Linked DNA regions of Coturnix japonica. The protein of the gene in region 2 interacts with the protein of the main gene of each other region in a biochemical or structural test. Links are inferred from orthologs where the notes say so. Each region holds a gene or a part of one and is shown on either strand. Other genes may lie near its edges.

What was found.
Region 1: the proteins of TJP2 (region 2) and CGN form a complex in vitro, tested with the Homo sapiens proteins (2 studies listed by BioGRID and IntAct, with this or other methods). The link is inferred for Coturnix japonica from reciprocal best matches to the Homo sapiens genes TJP2 and CGN.
Region 3: the proteins of TJP2 (region 2) and OCLN form a complex in vitro, tested with the Homo sapiens proteins (3 studies listed by BioGRID). The link is inferred for Coturnix japonica from reciprocal best matches to the Homo sapiens genes TJP2 and OCLN.
Region 4: the proteins of TJP2 (region 2) and CTNNA1 form a complex in vitro, tested with the Homo sapiens proteins (2 studies listed by BioGRID and IntAct, with this or other methods). The link is inferred for Coturnix japonica from reciprocal best matches to the Homo sapiens genes TJP2 and CTNNA1.

Annotation. Positions count from the first base shown.
Region 1 is NC_029540.1:2,377,061-2,384,332, reverse strand, and holds the start of CGN (cingulin), read right to left. Parts: upstream 4,148-7,272; 5' UTR 4,147-4,147; coding exon 4,070-4,146; intron 383-4,069; exon of another isoform or gene 194-382; intron 1-193. UniProt on the Homo sapiens protein: Probably plays a role in the formation and regulation of the tight junction (TJ) paracellular permeability barrier.
Region 2 is NC_029547.1:31,074,048-31,081,338, forward strand, and holds the start of TJP2 (tight junction protein ZO-2), read left to right. Parts: upstream 1-2,440; 5' UTR 2,441-2,445; coding exon 2,446-2,568; intron 2,569-6,386; coding exon 6,387-6,440; intron 6,441-7,291. UniProt on the Homo sapiens protein: Plays a role in tight junctions and adherens junctions. Acts as a positive regulator of RANKL-induced osteoclast differentiation, potentially via mediating downstream transcriptional activity.
Region 3 is NC_029543.1:2,404,233-2,411,289, reverse strand, and holds the start of OCLN (occludin), read right to left. Parts: upstream 4,574-7,057; 5' UTR 4,480-4,573; intron 3,650-4,479; 5' UTR 3,505-3,649; coding exon 2,842-3,504; intron 1,995-2,841; coding exon 1,836-1,994; intron 659-1,835; coding exon 504-658; intron 435-503; coding exon 234-434; intron 1-233. Other genes in the region: OCEL1 (occludin/ELL domain-containing protein 1), read right to left, coding at 4,969-5,091, 5,287-5,425, 5,508-6,289. UniProt on the Homo sapiens protein: May play a role in the formation and regulation of the tight junction (TJ) paracellular permeability barrier.
Region 4 is NC_029528.1:14,038,835-14,045,856, reverse strand, and holds the start of CTNNA1 (catenin alpha-1), read right to left. Parts: upstream 4,586-7,022; 5' UTR 4,451-4,585; intron 3,306-4,450; exon of another isoform or gene 3,285-3,305; intron 1-3,284. UniProt on the Homo sapiens protein: Associates with the cytoplasmic domain of a variety of cadherins. The association of catenins to cadherins produces a complex which is linked to the actin filament network, and which seems to be of primary importance for cadherins cell-adhesion properties.

The DNA.
Region 1 (7,272 bases), on a different chromosome or scaffold from region 2:
ACATAAAGCACCAGTGGACCATCAGCCCCACACAGCACCGCCAGCCCCACTCAGCACCGCCAGCCCCACTCAGCACCGCCAGCCCCACTCAGCACCGCCAGCCCCACTCAGCACCGCCAGCCCCACTCAGCACCGACCCCACGGGGCCGGACCGACCCCACACCGCAGCGCAGCGCTGACACCCGGCACTCACCGACGTCCTCCTCTCGCCCTCCGCCTGCACCGACCCGCGGCCACCGCAGCGCCGGGAGCTCCAGCGGGGCTGATGCGGAGCGACAGCAGCGCCCCGGGCGGCCCCGGCCCCACAGCGCTGCGCTCCTCCACCCGCTGCCTCCGGTGCCGGCAGCTCCGATCGCTGCCCAAAATAACCGCACTGTGAGCGGCACCGCCAGCACCACGCGCTCAGCACACGGCCATGGGATGGTGGCACTGAGCCGGGGTCACCACGTCCCGCACGTAGGGACAAAGGAAGAACGGCACCAAAATATCACATTAAAAGCTCTCGGTCCCGATGTCACCCCAGTGCAGCCCCCACATCCCCCCCCCGTGCCCACCCCAAAGCTCTGGGCACGTTGCGGAGGACAAATGGCCACGGGGACCCCGCGGTGCTGGTGGTGCTGGTTTGCTGAGCCCAACACATGGCAGAGGGTCGGTGCCAAACTTGGTGCAGCAGGAACCGGCCCCGAGCAGATGGTGGAGGTGGCAGCACCTGGCACCCAGCGGGGCGGCCATGGGGACGTGGGCTGCTGCCATGAGCTCCTTGTCCCCACGTGGCATCACGACAACGAGGTCGGCACCAGACCCCAAATGTCCTCGTGGTCGTCCTGTGCTCACCTTATGGTCAAGCTATGGCCACCCCATTGCCACCCCACAGTCATGGTTTCCTTGTGAACACTGTGTCCCTACGGTCACCCCATGGCACCATTTCCCTGTGGCCACCTCATGGGTACCCCACAGTCACCGTGTCCCCATGGACACCCCATGGATACCCCACAGTCACCGTGTCCCCATGGCCACTCCATTGCCACCTTATGGGTACAGCAGTGAGGACGGATCCTTTTCCCCCATGGGCACACAGTGGGTCCAGCCCCACAGCTCGAGCCAGGAGCAGGTGAGCACTAATCCCTGGGAATGCCCCATCCTGGCTGGGCTCCAGCGCTCAGATAAAGGGGAACAGACCGCATTCCAACACGGGAACACGGAGCTGATCCCACACAGCACACAGCCCCCAGGAGGGGATCGCAGTGCGGATGAGGGTGATAAAAAGGGGGACCCTATTTGTTGTTCTAGGGGACACGTCGCCCACAGCGCACGGTGGCACCCGGCTCTGCCCGTGGGTCCCGCAGCCATGCGTGGCAGGCGGCCAGCTCCGCTCATGCAGATACGGAGCACAAAGGGCCCTTTGTGGGCACCGCAACCCACAGAGCTGTTGTGCAACGGGCAGCGCCGGGAGGGGAAGGACATCAGCACCGCACGTCCCGGCCCCAGGCATGGGAACGGGGACAGCGGGATCCCAGCACAGAAATATCGCCTTTTTCTGCCCGTTTTTCTGCGCTTCGGGCTCTTTGCTCCACCTGCAGCGCTGGTTGCTCAACAGGGACAAAGTCTGCACGGCTCCATGCCCTGCCTGCAACCCCGACCAACAGCAACGATCGCCGAAACCCGAAACCGGGAGCGCGTCACGGGGCCGCGTCCACCCCACGCCCCGGGGACGTCACCGCGCTCAGGTTAATCATCAACACGGCAACGATGGAACCGTCCCACTCCCTGCACCCAGCCCTGAAAACACAGCGGCTGCTGAGAGCCATCCCCGGGTGGATGGTTACCTGTCGGTCACAACACGGTGCTCCACGGCAAACCCCAACAGTCAACGCTATTGGCCAACCCAAGAGTCTACGTGCAGCCAACCCCAATGGCCGACCTCAGTGGTCAACTCAATGGACCACAAAAGCCCGACAACACTGACAGCCAACCCTCATGGCCAACCACAACAGTCCAACCCAACAGCCAACCCTCATGGCCAACCACAACAGTCCAACCCAACGGCCAACCCCAGCTGATGTCTATGGGATTGGGACTGGAAGGCACACTCTCTGTGGGATCACTGTGTTATCCAAGCTAGAAAAGGAGTATGGGATTGTATCTGTATGGGATTGCTGCTTACAGGATCAGGGTTGGAAGATGTGCTGTCTGTAGGAGTGTTATCTATGGGGTCTAAGCTGGAAATCACATTGTCCTATAGCAATGTTATCTGGGGGATCCTTATCTATGGGATCCAAACTGGAAGCCTTGCTCTCTATGGGATTGTTATCTATGGGATCAGGGCTAGAAGCAGTGCTTTCAATGGGATCGCTGTTTAAAGGATCAGGATCCTTATCTACGGAATCCAAGCTGCGAGCCCCGCTATCTACGGAATCGTTATCTATGGGATCCTTATCAATGGGATCCAAGTTACAAGCCACACTCCAAACCAGCTCGACTGGTCAGGGTGGCGGGGAGCAAACCCAGCCCAGAGCAATCCGTATGCTCCAAACAAAGGGTTGGAACAGCAGCACGGAGCACAGGGAAGGGTTATCCCGGGGACAGCTGACCCGGGCAGCCCTACCCATCACCGCAGGGATGGGGGTGGTGTCATTTAGGGTTCCATTGGCACCAAGAGCCCAGCAGCATTGGGGATTCCGGGGTGGATTGGGGCTGGCAGCATCACATCCCACCATGCACACGCATTTCTCTCCTACTGAAGCTGAGCGAAGTAGGGCAGCATTAAAGATGCAGGAGGTGCCACATTACGGCTGCCTGCAGCCGGGAAGGGTCGGCCCCAGTGATGCCCTGAGGTCCTGGAGCAACAGGTCTCTCCCTGCTGTGGGATGGGGCTCAGCCTTGGGCAGCTCCACAATGATTATCTGGGTCCTGACAAGGGCTGGAGGGAACGGACTCACAATCCCAGAGGTGCTTGGGGTGGGAGGAGCAGGGCTGGGACATGGCTCTTATCAGCAGAGATAAGGACGGAGACACAAAGGCCGTGTGGAATTTACGAGCAGAGCAGCCCTGAAAGGGACAGGAATGGGATCTGTGGGGCTCCGGGGCCCTACAGAGCAGTGCCTATGGGAACATCGCAGTGGGGCTTTGTGGGAGGGGGGCAGCATGGGCGCCCAGAGGGTCTGTAAGGAAATGCAGACCCCCCTATGGAAGGGGCAGAGCACCTATAGGGGCAGGGAGGGGCTACAGGGGACAGAGGATCAATGAGGGATCCTACAGATGAAGAAGGAAGACCCAAAGCAGGGAAGAATCCTTACTGGAGGGTATTCTATGGGATGTGCTATGGGTCACATCACAGCCCACAACAAGGACTTTCGGAGAGTTCTGTATGGCAGGGTACCTCCCAACAGAGCCAGACCCTATGGGATGTTTAAAGAGACCCTAAGGGGACTATATGGGACTATAGGGTCAAGCAACCCCTATGCAGAGTCAGCCCCAGTGGGACCTGCTGCAGGGCTCCAGCCCCATAAGCTCTACCACGGGGAAGGGCACAGCCCAGGAAGGGCAGCCCTGCAGCCCAGCCCTATAGACGGTGCCACAGGGCACAGCACACCCAGGAAGGACAACAGCAGCAGGCACAGCCCTATGGGCTCCGCCATGGGGCAGAACAACCTCCAAGGACAGCAGACCCTATGGACCCAGCCCTATATACTCTGCCATGGAGCAGGACGGGACCCTCATTGGGTTTTGCCGTGGGGCAGGACACGCTGCATGGACCCCAGCAACACTGTGCTCAGCCTCTGTACAGCCCATCACAGGGCAGGACACGTCCCAGGGACACCAGCCCCAATGACTCCGGCCCCTATGGGTTCTGAATGGGCTGCACAGAACCGACCCCTATAGCCTCAAACCCTATAGGCTCCAATTCGGGGCAGGACACACTCTAAGGACAGCAGCCCCTACACCCTCAGACCTTATATGCTGTACCATAGTGCAGGACAAGACCCGCAGACCCCGTTCCCTGATCCCCGGCCCCTCTGAGCCCCGCAATGGGGTCGGGACCCCCGACCCCCCACAGCCCCGCACTCACCGCTCCGCACCGCCCCGCGCACCTCCGCCGCCGCCCCAACCTGTTACCTCCGCAGGCCCCGCCCCCTGCGCTCCCATTGGTCCGCTCCGCTCAAGGCCCCGCCTTAAGGCGGAGTCGAGCCGCGCAAACCACGCCCCCCGGCCACGCCCCCTCCAGCTCTCTCGGCCCTGCCTCACTTCCGCCACTCCCAACATGGCGCCGTTCACTCTGCGCATCCCGCGCCGCCCTCAAGATGGCGCCACTCCTCCCCTCGCACTACGGTGGCCGGCGGAGGCCGCACTTCCCGGCGCGCGTGCGCAGCGCGGCCGCACTGTGACTAAGATGGAAGTCGGAGCAATGAACGCGCCGCCGCCGTTCTGGGCCGGGGGTCCGTCACCGGGAGCAGCGTACAGCCCCGGGGGGGTCGGCATCGGGACCGGGCTGCTGCCCCACAGCGCTACCCTGTGAGATATGGGGGGGGGGAATGGGGGGCACGGAGATGGACGGGCGGAGTCACGCGGCGTGTCTGGGGTGCCGGGGACCCGCGCCATCGGGGCGCGGGGGGGCTGTGGACACCAATGGTGTGGGTCGGGGGGGCACCCTGGATGGCGGGGCCACACGTGGGGGGGAGGGTAAGCGGCCCTCGGGCCTTGTAAAGCGTCGGATGGGGCGGCTGGGGGCTCGAGAGTTGGGGGGAAGGCTAAGACGGGGGCTCCGGCGACGCTGCAAGGAAGCTCTTGGGGGGGTAGGAAGTGCCCTGAGGCCTTGAGGTGGAAGCGAGGCTGGAGGGCGGACCTGCGGCGGCTCCCGAGCGCAGTTCGGCGCGGGGGGCGAGCAAAAGTGGTCCTGGCCTGAGGTGGACTCGCCGGGGCTCGAGAGAGCGGGGGCGGGCTTGGCGGCTCTCGAGGCATTTGGGTGGGGGGGGCTTGGAGGTTGGGCTGGGACAGCTTGCGAGAGTTCCGGGCGGGTAGGATTGCCTTGGGGCTGGAGGGCTGGATGGGGCTGGGGCCGGCTCCGAGGAGTTGGGGGGGTAGGAAGTCGCCTGGGGCTGGAGGGTGCGCATCGGGGCTGGAAGGGCGAGGCTCCGAGGAGTTGGGGGTTGCGGCTGGCAGTGCATGTCGTTCGGCCCCAGGAGCCCGCGACTGGCTGGACCGGCAGGTCGTGCTGCGGCTCGCCAAGGTATTGCATGCGCGGCTGTCTATCATCGCGGCGGACATGATGGGCTCCTACGGGTCCCTGGCGCGGTTCCGCAGCATCTCCCGGCTGCTGAAGGTGAACGACAGCACCGTGCTGGGCGCCTCCGGGGACTATGCTGACTTCCAGTACCTGACTCAGATCATCAACCAGATGGTGTAAGTCTTTTTGGTCCCAGGAGCCGCACAGCAGCACATCCAGGTTGGAGGGACTCACTGGGATCCTCCAGCTCCTTTAATTACTGGTGGCCTTTGGCTGCTTCTCTTGGTGTAAAGTCTGCGTTTCCAGGCAGCCCACAGATTTGGCATGAGGTTTTCAAGAGGAGGGTGGATGTGGTTTAGTGGTTATAGATGGTTGGACTCGGTGAGCTCAGAGATCTCCTCCAACCCCACTGATTCTGTGAGTGGTGATGGGTTGGGGTTGCGCTTGATGATCTTTGGGGTCTTTTCCAAACTTAATGAATCTACAGTCTTATTCTGCGATCCCTTGTCCTGCTCAGGTGGGTTGGGTGCTGGCCTGGTGGCTCCCAGCTCCTCTGAGTTGAATGATGTTTCTCTCTGCTTTAGAATTGATGAGGAACTGCTGGGAGATGGCCACAGTTACAGCCCCAAAGCCATTCACTCCTGGCTGACCAGAGTCATGTACAACCGGAGGTCCAAAATCAACCCACTGTGGAACACTGTTGTCATCGGAGGGTTCTACAATGGTGAGAGGTGAGAACACGGGAACATGGAACATTGGGGTTGACCCCATCAGCTCAATTCTGTTGGATGGGAACATCCTTTAGAGTTTCTCCAAACAGAGAAGGATGGGGGGGTCCCATGGCTATGAGCTGCGCTCTGGGTGCCCTCCCCTTGTGCAGCAGTGATGCTCACAGCTCTGTCCTTCAGCTTCCTTGGTTACGTGGACATGCTCGGCGTGGCCTATGAAGCCCCAACTCTCGCTACGGGGTATGGCGCATACTTGGCTCAGGTTAGTGCTCACAAATGGGAATGCGGAGCACATTGAAGCAACAAGCTCGGTGCAGGGTGACTGACTGTTGAGCTGTTGGGTGTTGATGACTTTTTATTCAGCCATTGATGAGAGAAGTCTTGGAGAAGAAGCCCAGCCTGACCAAGGAGGAAGCCCGCGACTTGATTGAGCGCTGCATGAAGATTTTGTACTACAGAGATGCTCGGTCCTTCAACAGAGTGAGTGCTGTTTGTGCTTCATCTCCCATCTCCTCCACGGTGACACCCAGAGCTGAAATCCCGTAGCTTTAGGAACCGTCCTACCACAGTGAGCCAACTCCGCTTATCCACCCAGGAAAAAGACAGACATTACTGAATGTGGTGCCACATTAAAGCAGATGAATCATAGAATCATCAAATGTCCCAAATTGGATGGATCTGTAACACTGAGTTGAACTCAGTGATCGTTATTGGCAGTGAATGATGAGAACCTCCATAGGGCCTGTTGTAAATTCTTATTATTGGCAGTCAATGATGAAAACTTTCATAGGGCCCACCATAAATCCAAGTCTGTAGGCTGGGCTTTACTGAAAACTTCCTCTGTTTCTTCTCTTTAGTATGAAGTCGCTGTTGTGACAGAGAAGGGAGTGGAGGTGGAGGGACCGCTGACCCTGGAGGCCAACTGGGACATTGCACACCTGGTCAGGTAATGGGCAGGTGACACACAGTCCAAGCTCTGTGTGCTGTCAGTCTGACAAAAACCAAGGGCACAAAGTGTGGGTGGGTGATCGGTGCCATACACTCCAGTAGAGGTCCCACTGATTCGGTGCTAGAGCCAAATCCTCTCTTGGCCGGGAAGCGGCTCTGGGCAGCAGAGAGCTTCTCACTGATGGACCTCCTGAGATTTTGCTCCTTTTCTTCAGTACAAAACTCTGTGCAGGTTGTGGTGGTGCACACATGGACCACATCCCCACCATGCCACATCCTGACCCTATAAACGCTCTTCTTGCAGTGGCTTCGAGTGATCTCTGCAGAACTGCTTTGTTGTGTCCGTGCTTCTGGGCGATGCACATCCAAGAA
Region 2 (7,291 bases):
TTGGCTTTATTATACATGGATAAATAGTTTTTCTCATCTTTCTAGATTCTGGTCATAGATCTTCCTTACCATATGCAGATACTTAATGAGAATAACTAAGTTGGAGCCTTCTTACTTCAAAGTGGCCTGAATGGCAATCCTTACTACATGGGGAGAAACCTGGTGAAAGTGCCATTCCTTTACAGACTTTGTGGTAATTTGTTTACTGTGGTAACTACAAACATTTGGTAGGCTCTGGTTACCCTGTTTATGTTACATGCTTCTTTTTGTAATCATCTTTTATAATCTAAAGCCTTTGAGGCCATGTATGCTGCGAACATATCAAATTAGCTATGATACCTCTCCACCTTGTGTGCTCTTATCACACACTGTTCCCAGAATGTTGTGAAGTTTTGAAGTTGCTCTGAGGAATTTTCTGGAGGCTCACTTTCTTTCTCCTCTAACACCACTATTTTTTTTTAGGACAGATCATCTTGGTTAGTTTTTAGTTTATTTGTCCCTGCAGGAGTCACAGACTCTTCGCTGTCTGAACAGAGAACCAAGGTGTGGTTTTCAAAATAAAGTGCTGGTTACATAATTAAATGCAGGTACCATGGATGTGCTTGGCCAATGTTTGGCTTTTTTTTTTTTTTTTTTTTTTTTTTTTGAAAAGGATTAAAAATAGCTTTCCATCTTACATAGTAGAGTTAAAATGAAGGATTCTTATCCTACAGAACTTGTTTTCCCCCAAAATGAAATGCAAATGCAAGAGTCTGCAGCTTTCTCTTAACTCACTGGTCTCTTGACTGCTGCTGTCGTGACTATACAAGAAAAACTGCATACACTTGTGGTGATATTTCTGGACTGCTACGTTTTTATTTATTCCCATTATTTTTTTAAGTGTTGCTAGAGATAATCCACCTGCTTTCTCTTTTTCTTTTAGAGGAGAGAACAGACCAAATCCAAGGAAGAAGAGTTGTCATAAATACTTCAACTTATGATGAATGTTTTCCCATTTTTTTTTTACCACATTTTCCCTGACTGGAAATGGGAATGTTTGTTTCATGTTACCTTTTTAATTGTCAGGGCAGTGAAGAGAACAGGAGAGCAAGGACAGGGATAGAGGCATCTCCAGTACATCTTTATATTTGTTCCTTCTTATTACCACTTTTCTTTAAATAAATAGATGAAAATGTGATTTTAGAAGTTGTGAGTGTGTCTGTTCTGCAGAATGATTATTTTCCTTTAGAGACATTAGTGAAGATTATCCACTGTTTTGACCAGGTTCCAGTGCCAGGTCCTCCAACCATACAGGTGCTCTGGCAGCCCAGCGAGGGCTGCTGAACTGCGCAAACCTGCATGTGATCCAGTTCTGCTGGCTACTGCAAGAAATTGCCAGAGATTGGCAGGATGATAGTTGAAACATAGGGTGTTGAATTCAGTCTTGTGAGGGAAAATCCTTAAACTCCAGGTTTCTCAATTGAATGTTGTTTACCTTCAACAGTTAGAACTATCCATCTTGGGAAGAAATGCAACTTGTGGATGGGCTTTTTCACTTAGCATTGCATACTGACCTGTGTATTGCTATGTGTTCCTGTCTGTTTCACATTTTAAACAGCCTGTGAGACTTGCATGAAGTCTGGGGGAAAACTCTGGTCGAATTTTAAGCTCACATCATTTGTATGGGTTAGATGGAAGTGATAGCTTGACATATTTTCCAGTAAGGTCATCTTTCAGGCTATATGATCAGCTTATTACCAAAATTTTACTTCCTGTGCAATCAAACATCTAACCACTACTCATGGTTATGAGCAAGTTGTTTCTCTTTTTCTTGCTTGCTAGAGTCATATCCCCAGGATATTTTTAAATGTAACTCCTGGAAGTGTTTAAATGTAATTATACATGTGCAGGTGAAGGAATTACTCGCATGCTTACAATTACTTCTGCCTAAGGACTTCCTGGGTCCAGTAGTTAAATTGTTGAGACTTGATAGAGGCTGTTAAACACAGTTTAAAATGTGCAAAATAACGGAGCCAAGTGGTAAATCTTACTATAAAGTGTTATATGTCTGTCAGAGTGTAAATTTCAAGTAAGCATCCTTGTGCTTCTCTGTGCCTTTTTCTTTGAAGTTGCTAGTGCCCTGTTTCTTTAAAGTTTCAGATATGTTCGTGATGGGAGGGAACCAAAATGTGCTTGTAAAAAGAGTAACTTGCTGTGTTTTGATCTGTTTCTGACACTTAAAATAACAACTATTCCTATTATTTTTAAAATCAAGGATGTAGTCTTTTTTTTTTTTCTTTTTTGTTTTCCCTGGGGCCTCTTACAGCGAGAGTTACTGAAACTCTGAGTAGATTTCCCTGCTGTGGTTTTGATGCATTTCTGTGTGAAACGGACGGCAGGATTTGTTCTAGTATGTAGGCCACTATTGTATTAGAATTACATAACCGTGTGGAGTGGTAGAAACAGATGAAAAGACCAGGATGCACGGCGTCCCCGAACAGATCATATCCCGTGACAATGAAGACAGCGCAAGCTCTGCAGAGAATGTGGTCACATGCGGTCAAAAAGTTGAGGATTTTAAGGGGGCACGTGAGTTGCTTTTTGTTGCATCTTGCTCTGGGTCTTTCCTCCCTCCCCTGTGTGGCTTGTGTCTCCTTCCCCCCTCCAGCTCACTTTCACAGCCCAATAACTGTGGTGGCAGGTCTTCTGGAGGTGGTTTTCTGAAAGAAGCTGCCTGAGGCTATCTCTCAGTTGCAAGTAATTGCATAAATCGCGGATGACTGTCAGTGGGAGTTGCTGCTTGTAGCGCACAGATGATTTTAGTACTTTGAATTGTTTCCTGACACGGATTCTGTTAAGCGGTCTGCGTTGGCCATGTAGAAAGTGCCTGCCGTTTTGGTGTTCAGAATTAGGCAGATTTAAGCAAATCCTGACTGCGCTGCTCTCATTAGGAATGGACTGACTTTAGTCACTAGTGAATTCAGACTAGCTAATGACAGTTACTTGTACTTCCTGCAGCAATCCTGCAGCAATGCTGCTGTCTGTGTAAAACCTTGAAAAGCAGTTACTAACAGTAACTGTTGCTGTAACAGTAACACTGCTGTTTCCCCTGTCTTTCTTTCTCCTGTGTTTCTGTGTGTGATCTTGCATTGAAATGGCAATTGTACAAGGGACATCCAGGCTGTTCAGATCCTTTCTTGTTTCCCTAGAGACAAAGAGCGAAGAAATTGGCTGGGGTGATGGGAGTTTTTTGTAACCCATCACTTGATGCAGACAGAGGACAGTCATGTCATTGGGCATGGAATACAGGAATTTTGTTATTCTCGTGGAGACTTTTAATCATAGTTTTATAAGTCCGTGGCTGGTGATTTTTAGCATTTGTAGTCTTTTCCTCCCATTTAGTCTCCCCCAGTAAACTGTCCTTGTTGGTTAGTATCGTGGCAATAGCATACAGCGGTATTTTTTTATAATGTTAAAGGGATTATTGCTGAGAGATTTGAGGGAGTACAGATGTGTTTTTTGCCTTGCAGGCTTCCAAGGTGACCATTCAGTTCTCTGAACTGTGTTGCAGATCCTGAATGGCTTTATCAGTATGGCAGAGCTGGTCCTGCTGTCGTGGTAATTATGTTGCACAAAATCAGCTTTGCAAGTACATAATGTACTTTCCTTCACTAATATGGTATACAGCAACTGGGAGTCAGTTTCCCAAGGACCAGTTTCTGAAAGCGTATTAATTACAAATTTAAAAGTGAATTATTTAAGTGTCTTTTATTTAATAGTTACTAACAGTTCCAGACTAAAAAGCCCCTGGCCTTCCCCTCCTCCACATTTACACAGAACGTGTGTGAAGATCGTAACAGATATTTTAAGGAATATTTTCTGGGCACAGATGAGATGATGCTGTTGTCTTGACATCCTACAGGATCATAACTGTAGTATCTGTAGGCAGTAGTTTCTTTTCCTTTCCTATTGTTTGTTTTTGTGACCAGATATCACAAGACTTGTTTGTCAGAGCAAATAAACTTACCTGTGTTGGGTTTCTACACTTACGTTTGCTACGTGATGCGTCTCTTATCTCATGTGCAAGGTTTTACTCCACAATTCACTAGAGCCATCGTTTTGGTGAAGGAAATTCCTGTAAGCTCAGTTTTTTCCTCCCCACAGATCCTCTCTTAGTCTCTTTACTCTCCTTAGTCTCTTTTCTGCAGCATTGCATTGAACAAGGAGTCATTTCTCAGATGATCCTTTTTGCAGATAGAATATCAGAAGGCTTGATGTTAGGGTTGCTGGAAGAGCAGGGTGTGCGTGCTGCCTTCCGGCCCATAAGGGCAGTCTGCCTGCCTTACTTTTGTAAGTAAGCCAGCCTCAGCAGTGTGTTGGGCTGGTAAGTAGGATTGGTAAGGACTGCAGGCAGTGTAAATTGAATTTAAATAATGTTCTTGCCACATACATAAGTTATTTGGGCTTGTATGCAGTAAGAGAGAGAAAAGATTTTCCATCTACCTGTCCACAAAATCTGAACCCAGCTGCTTGTCCTTTAAATGTTACCAATCATCCTCTTATTTCTAAAATTCTCTTCATTGAAGCCGACTGTAATATAAATGACACAGAGGCCTTTCTTTAGTAGAGACCACAGAGCTTGAAGATACCATATAGAAAAGTAGGATAGAAATGATATAAATTAGTGTCAGTAGTAGCTAAACTATCAGTTTTCATACATGCCAGACAAGCAACCCAAGTAATTTCGTTTCTCACAGCAGCTCAGAATAAAACATGCAGATAAGGAGATTTTTTTCTTTTTTTAGTCTACAGGAGATCTCTGTGTAAGGGAATTTGCGTAGTGAGATGGTTGACTGTCAGCTTGCTGAAAGGTTAGGCATGTAAATTGCTAAAGTGGGAATATCAGAGAAAATAATTTCACCATATGCTTCATCAGACACAGTAACTCTCTGACAATAGACATGGACATTTTAATAGGAAGTTAGAAATGCTGATCATTCTAGACAGGTTTATGAGTACTTACGTTAATTTCAATTTAAGTCATTCTCTGAACAGATCTGCTAAATGTGTTTTCAGTTTGACTCAGAGAGTCCTAGAAACTGGGTAGCATTGTCCATTTTGGAGGAGAAAAGTATTGGTGCACATTTAATGTTGTTTGGTGTTGTGAACTTCCTGATAAGAATGCTGAGTGTCGTGCATCTTCCTGCAGGAACTCTGAGCAGAATTTAAGATTTGTTCCATTTTGTGGTGTTTGAAACTTCCACTGGAAGAATACATTATGGGGTTCTCTGCATTTGAGAAGCAGCATCCATGGCTTGCCAAGTAGCTATTGACTGCCTGAATACATTTGCTCTGGAAAAATGAGGGATGCTTTACAGCACAGGCATATCCATCATGTGTTACATTTCATCCATTTTTTAGAGGAGCGCAGTCACCAGTAATCCTTTTAAAGCCGTTCAGGGGACAATTAAGTCAAAACTGAGCTTCTAATAAGACTTCTGCTTCCCCAGGAAACTCATATCTTACCAAGAAAAATGTCTACTTTCAGCAGTAAAAACAAACCTGTGACTTCAGCATGCATGCACATTCTTGTGAAGAACCTGGATTTTTCTTTTGCAAATGAATGCTCTTGTTTTGAATTGGAAAGTTTTCAGTGTCGAATGCTGTTGTTCATTTTTTTCCTCCTCATTTCAAGGCCAGGCAGTGAAGGAGCTAGCTGTATGATGCACCACTACTGAGTGGCTATGTTGTGTTTTATTTTAAGTTGTGCTGTTGCAAAGATTTCAGGTTATATCACGACCCATTCAGGATCAGTTTATAGTGGAAATGTGGAGAGGGAGAAAAAAGGAAATATAAACATCTTAGAAGTGTCATAGAAATGTGTATACCCGTGCTATACAGAGATACACTGCTTTTCTGTAACATAAAATTTTAGCTGGGGAATCTAAATATTCAGTTGTATAGCTCAGTGGATTTAGAATTTGGTCAAATTCATGTGAACAAGAAGAAAGATCTGAAGGCTTACTGGTTTATAAGATCTCAGTTCCAACTTCTGATGTTGTGATGTGCTAGACTGGAGAGATACTCAGTTTGTGTTCTTTGAATCAGGGTTATATCGTGGTAGTGTGATTTGAATTAATTGCTTGTACTAAATGAAGCTTTTCCAGAAAACTGGAATGAACAGTTGAATCAGTGAAATTTGAAGGAATTCTATCAACCTGAACCCTTCAGATACTTTTTCCATTTTTAAGTAAACCATCATTAAGTGAAATGCACGTGTCTTGTACTAACTATACCAAATGCTTGTAATAAATGTATTATGTTTACATCTGTGTTTTAATGGGGTATTTCACAGTCTAGGTAGTTGTATGCTTTTGGTTTTACTGATTGGTTTCTGTGTGCAACAGGCCCCAGGCATGGAAGAGCTGATATGGGAACAGTACACTGTGACCTTACAAAAGGTGAGTGCCTGTTAATATTTTTTGCATTTCAGATATACTAGTACTGCTGATATCTAAATATATTTCACAATAAATGTTATTAGCATATCTGAGCCAAGAGCATGATTAATGTGTTGTACAAATTAGATATGTTTTCCATTTCAAAGCTTAATTGCGAGTTACTCATACTATAATGTGACTCTTAAATATTAAGAATAAATTAAATTAACTGTTTAAGTGCTGTTTACTTTTATTTAGCCTTTGCAACAGTGGTCTAATGTGCTACACAACAACCACATAGCAAAATTCATCACTGAATAACCTTAAAAACAAAGCAGATGGCTTTATCTTGCAGTTGTGATTAATGTTTAAGCTTTGTAAGTATCACTGAACACATTTCTACTGATCTGTTTGTATATACTTTCATGTCAAACAGCATAGAATTTAGTGGTAAAGAACTTCATCTAAATTTCTATAATGTGCAAGCTACAAGTGTTGCTTTAATTTTTAAGAAAAGCTGAAGTTATGTTGGTATATTACAAGATCTTTTGAGTTAAACAAAGTCTGTCTCTTGCTTGTGAGTTCCGAAAGGGCTAAGCCACCACCGTACAGTGTGGGATATCTTGCTTGACAGTGGTGATAGTCTTCCCAGCTGTTTGGTGATCTGTGTTCAGTGAGCAGGCTGTTCTGTGCTATTAATGTTTTTCATATGTTCTGCATTGAAATGAACTCAATGACCTGAGGTAAAACAGTCACCTCGCCTACAGAACTGACTTTATGGTTGAATTTTTGGAATAGATCGTTTTTTGTGTTGCAGACATGGACAAGGGAAACACTGCAGAAGGTCTTAGTTCTTGAAATTTCATTTTTCA
Region 3 (7,057 bases), on a different chromosome or scaffold from region 2:
GTACCTCCTCATAGGGGTTAAAGGCTGCAGGGCAGCGTGGGGTTGAGCCCTGTTGGGGGGGGGGGGGTCCCAATGGACCCTCCTCACCATAGTACAGACAATGGGACAACACAAAGTGAGCCCCCAGGGGTGGGGGTGGGCAGGTCGTTCCCCCCTCACTGGGAGCATTGGCTGTGAGTTCTATGGGGATGGCTGTAGATGGGGGGCACCCACAGGACCCCCCTCCCCCTCACCTGGCCCATTGCTCCTGGTCCCGTTCATCACCAGACTCCACTGCTGTGGTGTAGTCGGTCTCATACTGGGATTCATCCAGCTCAGGGTTACGGCGACGGCGGCGGCCACGGCGGGCAGAGGGTCTGCTGGGCTGATCCTTCCCCTTCTCCTCCTCCTCTGCCTGCACAGGGCTGGTACTGAGGGCACGGTCTGGCTGGTCACTATAGGGACACAGGGACATCAGCATGGCCATATGGCAACCCCTAACCCTAAGACCCCCAGCCACTCACCCCCGGCTGCTGTAGGTGCCTGAGGTGTAATACCCAGCGCTGGGGGGGGGCACGTAGCTGTATGGGGGGGCAGCAACGGGGCTGGTGGGCTTCTCTGAGTAGGCAAGAGTGGCCGTCTCGTCCTGCACACTGGCCCCATCAGCCACATTCTTCACCTGCAATAAGAACAAGAGCTCACAGGGGGACACGGACACCAAGGGGTGGGGGCACCGTCCCCATAGGGATGGAGAAACCCCCCCTGCATTAGGGGTGGGAGATCACAGACCCACAGGAACCCCCATGCTACACTGCACAGAGCTCTGTGGGGGTCCCAGCCCACAGCTCAGGGGACCCCACAGCCCTTCCCACAGCCCCAGGTGTCAGCCTCCGGTTTGGGGCTCCTGGGAAGGATGTCCTCTCCTGTCCCCCCCCCCTTTTTCCTTCCTGCCCTTTGTGGCTGTTTGTGCCGGATGCTGACCCAGCTGGGGGCCGGACGGTGGCTTTGGGGACGTCAGCTCCAGCTCCGGCCAGCAGAGCCCCTTCCTCTGCCTCTTCCTCCATCATTAAGTGATCTCCCCCCCCCCCCCCAACAACTGGTCCTCCACCAGTGCAGGGACAGCCGGGTCCCTATGTCAGACTGCAGCTCACACCCACACAAAGGTCACTGCTTCGCCCCAACCACATGCATAGAGTGAGACATCCTCAAGGTTGGGGGGGGGGGGGCATTAAAATTACTCCCTGCCTGCATGTATGGCAGCACCACCCCATACTGCTGCCATGGGGCACTGGTAGAGATGGATACACTGCTATGGACTATGTTGGGTGTGGGGTCTGTGCCCCAACCCTCCCAAGGAGCAGGAAATGCCGGGCTGGGGAGGGACGTGGAATGAAAATAAATAAACCCGAACAAAGATGTTTGTGCAGAAGGAAAAGCAAACAGTGGGCACACAGACACGGAGGGGTGCAGAACCTGCAGACCCCTGGCACATCACACCCATCCCTATGGGGCTGGGAATGGGCAGGTGGGACCTAGACATGGCTGTGTGTGTGTCAGCACATAGAGTTAATCATTGACGAGACCGAAACCCAGCAGTGCCTGCAGCCGGTGCAGAGCGGACAGAAGGGACGGGCTCAGCACTGCTGGCCCCCGGCCCATCTGATCCAACCCTGTTTGCCTTTAGGGCCAGAGAAGGGAAATAAAAGGGCTGCTTGGGGAAGGAGTTCAGCCCCACGGCTCCTGGTACAGCACTGTTTGTAGCAGGAGGAGCTCCTGATATGGGGCACAGCCACGTTCCCAGCTCCCAACCTGCTCAGGGTAGGAGGAGGATGCTCCCATTGCCCCCCTATACTCACCCACTCCTCCACATCGGGCCCCTCCTGCACTACGGGTGCACGGTCCCAATAGATGTTGGCTTTGCCATAGCGCCAGATCTTGCTGCGTGTCTTCTGGGCGAAGAAGCAGATGAGGCAGAGCAGGATGGCAATGAGGAACCCACAGACAGCAGCCACAGCCTGGAGGGGAAGCAGGGAGGGGGGGGCTGAAGGGGTCTGCACTCACCCAGCCCCCGTGTGGGGCTGAATGGGGCAGCTCTCCCCCCATAGACACCCATAGGTTAGACAGGCAGTCCACAACACAGAGCCACCATGGGGTTTGTAGGGCTGAAGGCTGGGTTTTATCATGGGAGCAGACGGAGGGGACACCCCAACACTGCACCTCCATTGGGGTCAGCTGAGCATGGAGCTCTATGGGGCACTGAGCACAGCACCATGTTGTGTCCCCCCCCCCTCCTCCACGGTGCAGCAGTGTTATGCTCAAGGTGCAGGAATGCAGCACATCCAGCCCGGCTGCCACAAACCAGCAGCACCGGTCCCACCCCAGCACTGTACAGGAACCCTACAACGGCCCCAGCCGAAACCGGGGCCGTGCAGAACCTGCTGCCTTCTGCCCCACTGACCCCAACCAGCACAGCACAGCACAGTCCGGCTTCCCCTCCCTGCTCAAGTCCTTTTACAAGCCTGGAGACCAAAGTACCCGGGAGCAGCTCAGTGTTGGGGCACAGCCTGTCCCCTCCCCGAAACTCCTGTGCTTTGATGGCCACACGGTGCCATCCCCCTCCCCTCCACCCAATGCAGCAGCACCACAAATGGGGGGGGGCATTAAGAATGGGGACACCACATCCCCATCAGGACACACTGACCCCAAATTGCTCCCCCTACGACCTCATTCTGCCTTTAAATCATTATGGGGGGGGGACACCGCATCCTCATCTCCATCAGGACACTCTGACCCCAAATTGCTCCCACTACAACCTTAAAGGGCTGACTTTAAATCATTATTGGGGGGGGGGTTCACACTCACCTCCTGCGGATCCACAGTGCAGTAGTGGTAGATATACTGGTTGAGGTAGGTGCCACCATAAGCCTGGCTGCACATGGCCAACAAGGGGCTGTAGTAATAACCACTGGACATCTGTGCCTGCGGGTTGACCCCCATGATGTAGACGATGGATGCGATGAGCATGACGAAGGCCAGCACAGCGCTCAGCACCAGCACAGCCAGGTAGAATCGCCGTGAGCGTGTGGCCCCTGATTTACTGAGAGCAGCCACCAACAGCCCCAACTGGGCCAGGAAGCACAGCACGGCCATAGCGATCATAAAGCCATTCGCCGTGCGTTGGTTCACCCCTCCATAGTAGCTCCCGTAGCCGTAGCTGTAGCCCAACGAGCTGCCGTAGTAGCCGGTACCGTAGAACCCCCCCAAGCCGGTGCCATAAGCCCCCCCCAGGCCGTAGCCATAGTCCCAAGCGAGCGTGGATGCTACACAGGCAAAGATGGCAACGCAGAGCAGCAGGACCCCCCCCTGCAGCCCCCGCACCACGCCGGGGGGCGACGTCCACTTATAGAAGTGCTGCGGAGCGTCGTCTACGTAGTAAGAGCCCGGAGGGGGCGAACCGTAGCCGTAATCAGCGCCGGGGGGGCCGTACATGGTGGGGGGAGAGTCGTAGGATTTCTTGCTGAACATGGTGAACCTGCGGGGGGGAAGGACGGAGCGCTGACACCGCCGGTTCTCCCCGTCCCCGTTGAGTTCAATGGGGGACTTTGATCGCCGTCGGTCGGTCGGTCGGTCCGTCCGTGTGTCCGACGCGTCACAGCGACTCGTAGGGAAACTGAGGCACGTTTTGGGGCGGGGAGAGACGGTGAGTCAGCGCTGGGTGCTCAGCCCTGCCCGCCCGACCCGCCGCGTCATGGGGTCGTCTCATTAACAAGCACAAAAGCGATTAACCGAGGGCAGCGCTCACCCCCGAGGGCCCCTCCGGCAGCAGAGCTGCTGGGATTAACAAGCAATGGGTGGGGGGGGGGGGTTCACTGCCGGTTCTTCCCCTACCCCGGACCCCCCCTCCGCACTCAGGATCGCCCTTTGCTTTTGCTTTGCTCTGAGTTCACAGGTGTTTGCAGCAACAGCGCAGGAAGGTTGGGGGGGGGGGGGGGGAGCAACGCCATGAGGGGCAACGGGGGGAGACGGGACGGCTCTGCAGCCTAAAGCTTCCCCCCCCCACGATGTACAAAGGCACAACCCCACAGACACAGCACAACCCCAAGCATTGACCCTCCCCCCCGGCAGGTGCAATATGAGAAACCCGAACCCCGCGGGGTAACCCGAGCGGAAGGCAGGCGGGGAGTTGGGGGGGGGTCGCGATGTCCCAACCCCCCCCTCCCCGTCCCCAACGCAGGTCCCGGAGAGGGGAAGGATGGGGAGGGGGGGGGCTCTGTGTGTCCCCCCACCCGACAGCCCCGAGACGTGGAGCCCCTCCCGGTGCAGCCCCCCCCCCCAACCCGGTCCTCGCAGCGCTCCGGTACCGGCGGATACAGACGGAGACCCTCGGAAGGACCCACAAAGCACCACCCCCGCCGCTACCGGGACCCGCACTCCCCCACCCCGGTTCCGGTATCGGTTCCGGAGTCCCGTACCACCGCACAACCCGTCACCTGCACGCACCTCCGCCGCTTTGTTCACCTTAAAATGGCAGCCGGGAGCGCTGCGGGACGGGACCGGTCCCGGTTTCCGCCTCCGGGGGGAGCCCCGAGGGCGGCCCCGCTGCCGTTGTCCGCCCCCATTGCGGGGAGGGGGAGCGGGGGCTGCGGGCGGGGGTCCCCGTAGTGCAAGGCTGAGTGGGTGACATCGGAGCATCCCCGGGGCTCTGGGTGCCCCCCACCCGCTGCGGGTCCCCCGAGATGCATCGAATCCCCCCGGAAACATCATGGGATTTTATTATAAAGTGCCCCAATCCCTCTTTGGCTGCACCTGCTTTGTGCTGGGGGGGGGGTGCAGAGCCACTAGAGACCCCCAGATTTGCTCCCTTTGCCACAGTGGTTGCAATACAGCAGGCAGTGGGTGCCCATAGTGCTGTCACCCCCAGTACTGAGCCCCACAGTGTCCACAGGGCTTTTTTTTCTGGGGGGGGGGTCTCCATCCATCGTGCCCCGCTCAGAAGAGGACGGTGCTGCTGCGGTCACTGTTGCGGTCATACTCCTGGATCTGTGCCTTAATATGTGTCAGCTTCTCCTTCAGGTAGAGGCAGCGCTGCTGCTTTGCCACGAAGGCCAAATCCTGGCAATGGGACACGCTGAGCACCGAGACCCCCCCCACGCAGCCCACACCCCTCACCCTCCTCACCCTCTTCTCCCCCAGGAGCTCACAGCAAACACAGACCCCCCCCTTTTTCACCCTACAGAGCAGAAAGGCACAGCCCCCCCCATCCCCACCCACCCACCCCCTGTGCCCCCCATCTCATCGCACACCCACCTTGCCCACAGCATCATCATCCTCCCCCCACCGCTCCGCCTTCAGTCGGCCCCGCAGCTCCCGATACTCGGCGTGTTGATCGACGAACACCGCCCCGTATTGCTGCCGCTGCCGGGAGCTCCGGATCGCCGGGTACCGCCTGCAGGAGAACCACCACCAGCTCAACCCACGGGACCCCCCATGGACCCCCCCCCCCCTTCACACCGAGGATGGTCACTTACATCATGTAATCAGGCTGGGGGGGCACCGAGCCTGAACACTTGCTCTCTTTGCTGGTGGTGACTCCAGCCCCCCATAGGGGTCTCCCTGCCACCCCCACCTCATCCTCGAAGATTACACGTTTGGCTCGGACCAGCGGAGGCTTCAGGATGGAAACTGGGGGGCTCAAAGCCCCCGTGGGCTGCAGGTTGTCCATAGGGCTACAAGGAATCGCTGCAGCCCCCTGGTACCAAACCTTGAGAGCCACGGCACTGCCGGCCAGGTAGAGCAGAGCAGTGAGGAAGAGGAAGAGGAGAGCGGCCGCCTGAGCCCCATCCACACGGCAGAGCTCGGTGAGGAGGGGGCTGCCAGGCAGCGGGGAGGAGCAGAGCCCCCCCAGGGTGACAGTGTGAACGTGGGCCCCCGCCGCAGCCAGGCAGAGCAGGAAGAGCAGCACATAGAGCCCTGCTTCGGTGGGGGGCCACCAGGTGACCCCCAAGAGGATGTGATGGTAGCGGGTGGTGACCCCCAGCAGGAGGGCAGTGAGCAGCCAGGCCAGGCCGAGCACTGCCAGCACAAAGGGGGTCAGCGGGACCCCCAGCCCCCCCCCAGGGAGCAGCTCAGTGCTGTAAGCGCTGTAACCCCATGGGATGGCAGCACACACACAGATAAAGGCCGCCCCCCCGCACAGCAGCTGCAGCCCCCCCAGCACCCACAGCAGTCCCAGCCACGACTTCAAGTGCTGCCCGACAGCATCATCCCGTGGTCCCTTCTTATTGCTGGGGGGGGTGAGCTCAGCCATCATCTCCTTTGGTGATGGGATCCCCCGGCGGTGGCCGTGCTGCTGGAGGGGGGCACCAGGATCCCCCCCCCAAGTCCTAATGCCTCAGTTTCCCCTGCAGGGTGCACTCAGCCCTGCTGCAGCTCCGTCCTTGTCCTGTTGATACTCAGGACCCCCACCCAGCCCTGCCTCCCTCTGCCCCCCCACGTTACCTGCCTGCTGCATGGCAGGATGTGGGCCCCCCCCCCCATCCAGGAGTGCTGCAGCCGCTACCTGCCTCCGATTGGCACCATGGGTTAAACATTAACAGCTTTGTGCTGCCCTACAGCGGGCGTGGGGGGCACAGTGAGGGCTGTGGGGTGTGGGCTGGAGGCAGGAGCAGCCCCCACCCACCCCACTGTATTCAGCTGCACCTCAACACCTAAGACCCCCCCCACCCAACCCCTTAAGGGCCCCAATCCCATCCCCACCCCGGCACCAGTCCCACTGCCACAAGCACAGAGTGACATGTCCAGTTCAGCCTCCTTTAATGTGTGCCTCAGCCCCCACCTCCCCCCCTGGCCCTCCCCATACCGAGGGTCCGGCTCAAGGGGGGGGGCACAGCCCCCTGGGGGTCCCACATAGGGCCCCATGGAGCAGCTTTGCCCCCACACTGCACAGGGGCTGCTTGGGTATTGCATCCAGGAATCTCACAGCACTTGACAATGGTCGGTATCGTCACCCCTACCCACCCATTTTACAGATGGGGGAAACTGAGGCACAGAGTGGTGACGTGACTTCACCAAGGCTGTG
Region 4 (7,022 bases), on a different chromosome or scaffold from region 2:
AGTCGTGTCCAAGGAACTTTGCTTTACAAGCAGGCACTACATGGGCACACTTAAAGCAGGTACAGAATGGGCAGTTTGTATGCATCCAACAGCGACATTTATGCAGAAGAAACACCTGCTTGCACAGTCCTGCACCTCCACCAGCGCACAGCCAGCTCTGTCCTGATATTTCAAAGCTGTCTCTTAATACAATTATCATTTTAGTCAATAATAATAACAAAGAGCCTCTCTATAGCTTCATCTGAAGATCTCAAGAGCACTTTGCAAAGATGAATACTAACTCGCCCAGTGTTACGCAGGTTAAACGTTATTTTATAAGCACACAGCTCAGTCTTGTTTACATAAAAAATTAAACTGACCCTTTTGGTTAAGTAAAGTTTAGTGCTAACGCAGCCCTCGTGCACACCATTTTATTTAAGCCAGTCTCCTGCGCTGAGGTTATATTATCCAGAAAGATAATGCAAAAAGAATCCTCCCTTAGAGCTGTGGAGATTGAACCCATGGAAGGACCCAGAACAAAGCAGTGAATAAATGAAAACTCTCTGGACCTTCGAGCAGGTTAAAAAAGAAAAAAAAAAAGGAAAAACAAGCCATCAAGGTCACCAGTTTGTGGTAGCATTATTTCTTATTGATTCCCTTATTAATTTAAAAGGTGCCAGTTTGGTAGTTCCCCAAATGTCCTCTTGATCTTGTGCTGCACAGCAGCGAGGACAGAAGCGCATCAGAATCATCTGCCCCAAACTCCCCTCATTTCCTTCAGGCAATATCCAGAAGAAAAAAAAAACAGAGGACAATCTTATTTCCTTGAGCCCTCATCAGCTCTCTCAAGCCCTGTAATTTCAGGCTCCTTGTCCCAAAATAACTACTCAAAGCCACTCCAGACCAAAGTGCACCAACATGCTCACAGCATCTCCTACCCCAGCTTACATCCACTCCCTGCCATCAGCCCCACGCTGACCAGGAAACCTTCTGCAGCATGTGGTGAGTCACAGCTCTGATCTGCAACAGCACAGACAGCTTTGAGAACTGAGATCTGCTTGGAAAGAAGCACACACTGAGAGCTGTATCTCACTGTGAGCACTGAAATCCTACCTGGCACACCACTGCTGGCTCTAGTTTGTTTGCTCATCCCTTGGAAACATTAAGGACTTCAATTCACTCTTAAGATTATAAAGACACAGATGTGCTAGGGAACTGTTTGGCATCCAGTTTGGTTTGTGTTCTCGCTACTGTTGCACTCTCTGTCTTGGTAAACTACCCCCCTTAGCTGTATGACCTCAAGCTTGCCTTCTCCATTCCTAGATGACTGAATTCAAAGAAAGCCTTTCAAGAGATACGTGGATGATACAATGATTCAGGTAGCTGCCTTATAAGCTAGAATTCTAAGTAAGGGAATGTCAAGAGACTGCAGAGAATTTCCACTTGCAAACTGGTAGTATAGGTTGGCACACTGAATTTCCATTGCTTCATAAAGTGTGGAAAAAAAGGTTACTCCTCTCTTACTCTACCAGAGCTGTTTATAAACACCCATGAAAGGGCCAGCAGATGTTTTATGTTGTACAGCTGGGATTGACTAACAAAAAGATGTAATCATGCCAGATAAAAGGTAGCTGGTTCCTTAAACAAGGCGGAATCATGAATCACATTCAAGTATCAGATTTGCTAATAGGAGAATCTATAGTAACCCATTACACACATGAAAACAGTCAACACCCATTCTAACCCTGAATAGAAGATGAAGAATCTCAGTTACTCAAGAGAAGGACCCAACTCACAGTTGCAGTAACTGCATTCCTCCTGTAACTCAATGAGGCACATCACTGCATCGCGCTCTGCCAGCCACTGCTGCCTTATGGCCCCACAGGTCGCTGCCAGTTGGGTTCCTCCAACAAAGGTGCTGCTGCAGTTTTTCTTTCCAGCCTCACACGTTGGATTAAAGCCATATGAAAATACAAGTAGTAACTGTCAAACATCTGCACTTCCTGGAAAGCTGTAACTCAGTTTGACCAATGCATGAGCTACATACAGTGCTACTCCTGATTAGCTATAAAGCCAAGGTAGGGTGGATTCCCAGAAGTAATAAAGAACCCAAATCCTCAAGGTTATACACACCGATGTTCTACAATGTAAGACTTCGAGTGATTTCCAGTTAAGGCACTTCAGCAGGGAACAACAACGGGCATTCAGCTTTGTGTTACATGACCTCATCTCAATATGGTATTGTGCTAACATAATATTCAGTCCTCTTTTATTCACCACGTTTCCTCTGATGTCCAAAGCCAAGAGGTGCCAGTAAAACCAACCCAGATGCAATACACCGAGTCCTTTCAGGGAGGACCATGGCCTTGTACTTCCTCACTCAATACCAACCTTACTAAGCATCCATGATGAGTCGACTGGCCATGCCATTAAATACTTCCATGAACTTAACAAACTCTCTTCATAAGAAAATAACCTTAGAAATTAAGAACTAACAGTAGATGCAACTTCAATGAAGGTCTGACATTCTACTGAAGTCTATTTCCAGCTCATAAACACTTCTACTTATGTGGATTCTTTTGCAAGATCAGTTTCTCCATCTCACAGCTGCGGGAGGAAGATATTCATGCTGCTGAAAACACACAAATTGTTTTTCTATTACATCTCTCAGTTAACTTTATCAGACCCACGGACACCCTGTGAAGCAGCTGTATATTGGTATTTGCCATTACACATGTCAGACACTGGAAATGCTGATGTTACACGAAGCTGGAGAATTTATGGAGACATAAATACTCGCTACAATATTTTAAGTCACCGTTTTGGGTGCGGGATTTCTAATCTCCACCCGCTGTGCTTCCCCCCGCCACCCTGGGTAAACTTTTAATCTCCACTGCTCTATTATTAGAGCTGGCTGGAAAAAGCTAAAGGCTGAAAGCTTGTTGTTTATTATGGAAAAGGTTAGGGCAAAGCCTTCAAAAAAAAAAACAACCAAGAACTAAATCATTGACTTTTCAGAAGAGGAACTAAGATATTTCCATTGAAAACTGTTTCTCTGAATAAAAAAATCAGTTAATGACTCAACATGAAATGATGCCCTTTCCAAAGAAAATATTTCACTACAGGAAGGAAAAACAAGTGTTAGCAAACACACAGCACCCAAAGATGGTCCAAACCGTACCCAAAGACCACGAGTTCTGTGAAGCAAACTGGCTTTCACACCATTGAAACACAAAATGACCACCCCACAGCCCAGCCCAAGGGCTGACAGGCCCCACTGAGCTGGGCAGTGTGTGAAGCCTCACCAGAGCCGGGCTGGGGATGTGCACTGGGATCCATGCAACCAGCAGAGCCTCCCCACCTCCTCCTCTTCCCTGCTCACCACGCAGGAATAACACAGGAAGCAACTCCAGCATCAGGAACAACTCTGGTTATTCAGCCCCTGTCCCAGGAAAATAAAAGGGGGGACGGGAGGGAGGGGGAAGATTGAAAAGGAAGTGGGGGGTGAGGGGAAAGAGCAATTGAATCCAGTCACCTCAGCCATGCCATGGGTGGTCACGTTGGGTGCTGGAACGAGGACACGGGCACTCCTAATGCAAACAGGGAGTGTGAGTTATTGCAGGGCATGGGGGTTATCGACTGGCAGCTCAGTCAGACACAGACATCGCCCTCTGGGTGAGGACGGGCAGACAGAAGCAGGGAATAAAGGGGGAACAAGAGAGGGGTCTGGAAGCTCTACGGGGTGTGGGGGGGTAACATGGGGGCAGACCGCAGCCAGCTCCCAGCAAGAGACACACACACCTCGCTGTGCCCACACCGGGATGCTTCACACGCGTTATGCTGAGCTCAGTGTGTGAAAGCAGAGCGCCTGGTGACCCCGGGAGGGCTGGTGTGAGCCAGCAGCTGGGGTCTGACACTCTCACCCCACGCTTTAAATAGGAGCGATGGGACACAAGTCGTGGCCGGCCAAGGACGAGCGGGGGCAGCGCCCAACGCCGCTCCCAGCTGGGGCGGACGGAGAGAACCGCGCTTAGAGCCAGGCCGCTCCCGAAGCGTCGGAACAGCCCAGGGCAGAACCGAGGAGCCGAACCGAGGAGCCGAACCGAGGAGCCATGCGGGCAGCCCGAGCCCTCGGGGAAAAGTCTCAGCGAACTCCGCGCCGCCACCGAAACTTGCCCGGACTTTGCCGGGCCCCGCCCGCCCTGATCCGGGATCACCCGAAACGGGGCACACCGACACACACAGCGCGGCCCCACAGCCCCACGACCCCACAGCCCCACGGCCGAGCCCCGCTCCCGGAACCCGGCCCAGGCCGCGCTGCCCCCGCCCCACTCGGAGCCCCACAGGCCCCGCTCCCCGCCCGCGGCCTCAGCTCCGACCGCCCCGCGGGGCCCAATGCAGCCGAGCCCGGCCCGTCCCGCCGCCAAAAGTTTCCAAGGCGCCGTTAAAGCGGCGCTAGTGCGATAGTTACCGGAGCAGGGACGAGGAGCCGCGCTGCGCCGCCGGACCCGCACCGACCCCCGGCCGCTTTGTCTGGGCCGCACCCGCTCCGTCCCGAGCAGGAAATGGGCTCTTCCGGGCGCCTCCCGCCGCCGCTCCCGCCCCGCCCGGCCGCTGTTCCCGTCACCGCCCGCCGCGCCGCCCCGCGGGCAGGTGAGGGCCCGCCATGGGGGTCAGCCCGACATGGGGGTCCCACCGCCTCCACTCGGCCCTGCACCCCTTCAGGCCCGGCTGCAGCACCCTCACATCGCCCCACACACCTCGTGCTTGGGGCAGAACCAACAATTCCAGTCACAAGCAAAAATTGTCCAGTTACCGGCCAGAGTGAGATCACAGCATGTCTGCGCTTGGGAAAGACTTTAGGGACCCCCCAGCCCACCCCCCACCAGCACTATTGCAGCCCCCAAGGGCCACATCCACACTCTCAGTGCCTGTGGGACGGGGCCTCATCGCCAGCTCCAGTGTTTTACCATCCTTTGTATGAAGAAATTATGATTATTATTGGTGTAGGGAGCCTGCTTTGGCAGGGGGGTTGGACTGGATGATCTCTAGAGATTCCAACCCCTACAATTCTGTGATTCTGTGATTATACCCAAATTAAACATCCCCTCGTGCAATGTGCTGCGTTCACCCTGCGTTTTGTCACTTGCCACAACACTGAGTGCTCCTACAGGCAGCTGTACAGAGCCAGAGGGTCACCCCAGAGCCTGCTGTGCTCCAGGCTGGACAGACAGTCTGTAAGTGCTGTTAGAAGAGCCTTGCAGGCCCCAAAGTCACAGTGTGAAGCTGCTGTCATGTCCCATGTTGGTGCTGTGGCTCCTGACTGGGACGTTACGGAGTTTAGTTGGTCTTTTGGTGTCTCATCTCAACACACAGAAGTCTGAAGCAGCATCCTTGTGCTGCTTGGTGCGGTCAGTGGCAGCTCCTGCTCTTAGGGAGCTTTTAGGAGCTGAGTGTTAGTCAATGAATGTAGATTTGTGGATGGGGAGAGATGTCTCCAAGGAGTAATGTATTTCAGAGGCTTTGAAGACAGCCAGTGACCACGTTTTCCCTGCATCAAATCACTGGTATTTTTCATAGTTTGTTTTGACATGACTTTTAATTCAAATATCTCTACAGAACTTACGCTCGTACTGGATTGTAAAAACAAATGAATAACTGTAATACATTTCATGACTCATTTGCCAGCATTTCCGAGTTACCTGAACCTATTTGCTCTGTCCTTTGATACCAATCAAAACACAGAGCTGGGCAGCCCTCAGGGAGCAGAGCATACATTGGAGCAAGGCAATTCAGCCCATGTAGATTCCTGGGGTGCCAGCCCCCAGCCCATGTCATGCAGAGCACACTGTGCTTCACACCATGGCTCTCGACACTGATTTTTCCCTGGTCCCATGCATTATCAGGGCTGCACTTCCTATCTAGGCCGTGCTCCTACCAGCCGCTGCTGCAGGAAGGCAGGCGGTGTCCTGCAGCGATTCAGATTGCATTTTTCCTTCCTGCGGATTTAACCCAAGAAAGGGATCCAAGGCAGGGAAGTAAAAACAACACCATTGTTTGTCAGACCAGGAAGAAAACAGGGATCGAGAGTCCGACCCTGTGAGCAAAGTTAATCGAAAGAAAGCAATTCTCTGTTATTATAGAGATGCTATTTATTAGGATGAAGCTGGAAGTTTGGTGTCTTAACAAATGGGCTCTCCTCTAGAAAACACAGAGAAAACAGATTTCTACGCTCTCTGTTTGTACCAAGCCATTAATATTTTGGTGTCGGTTGCACCAGGAATCCAAACTACTCATTTCTGATCTGCGGCGTACTCACAGTAAAATTGAGTTTACACTTCAATAGCTTGCTTTCTTTCATTGCTCCTTTTAATACCGTGTCTTGGCCTCCTGTGGTGGCTTCCACATTCACTGCTTTTGCACGTCTCACATCCTTTCAGGACAAAATGTCAGATTAAAAAACAAAACCAACAAACAACCACCTCTTTTAAAAGTAGAAACCCGAGGGTAGAAGGGCTGGAATGGTGGGGAATCACACGTTCTGTGCCACGCTGCTGAAAAGCAAAGCAAAAACGCAAGCAATCAGCTGGCAGCTCTGAAGGGTTGTGAATCAAGTGGAAAGACGCAGCAAACAACAACAAAATCATGTAAAAATAGAGCCAGCCAGGTTGGGATTGGACTTTGCCTCTTAATTAACAGCTCTCTCAGAACACGGTGGCAGGCTCTGTCAGCAAGACTGAAACGTGGGGCGTTGTTTGGACAGGCACCCAGGAACTATAGCTGGCACTTCCCATCCAGCACATGTCACTGAGACAGCATCAGGCTGTGCCAGCAGTTGAAACCCAATCCATTTTCTGCAATGAGTCAGAAGTTTTCTGCTTGCCCCTGAATTTCCCTTTTAACGGTGTTTATGGTTTTGTAATTCCATTTTCTTCTCGTGTTTTCTTTTGTTTTCAACTCTTTTCACCAGCGAAAAAGCAAACGCAAACCAGGAGGAGAAGCAGGCAGGGAGGAGAAGGTGCAGCAGCAGAATTGCTCAGCAC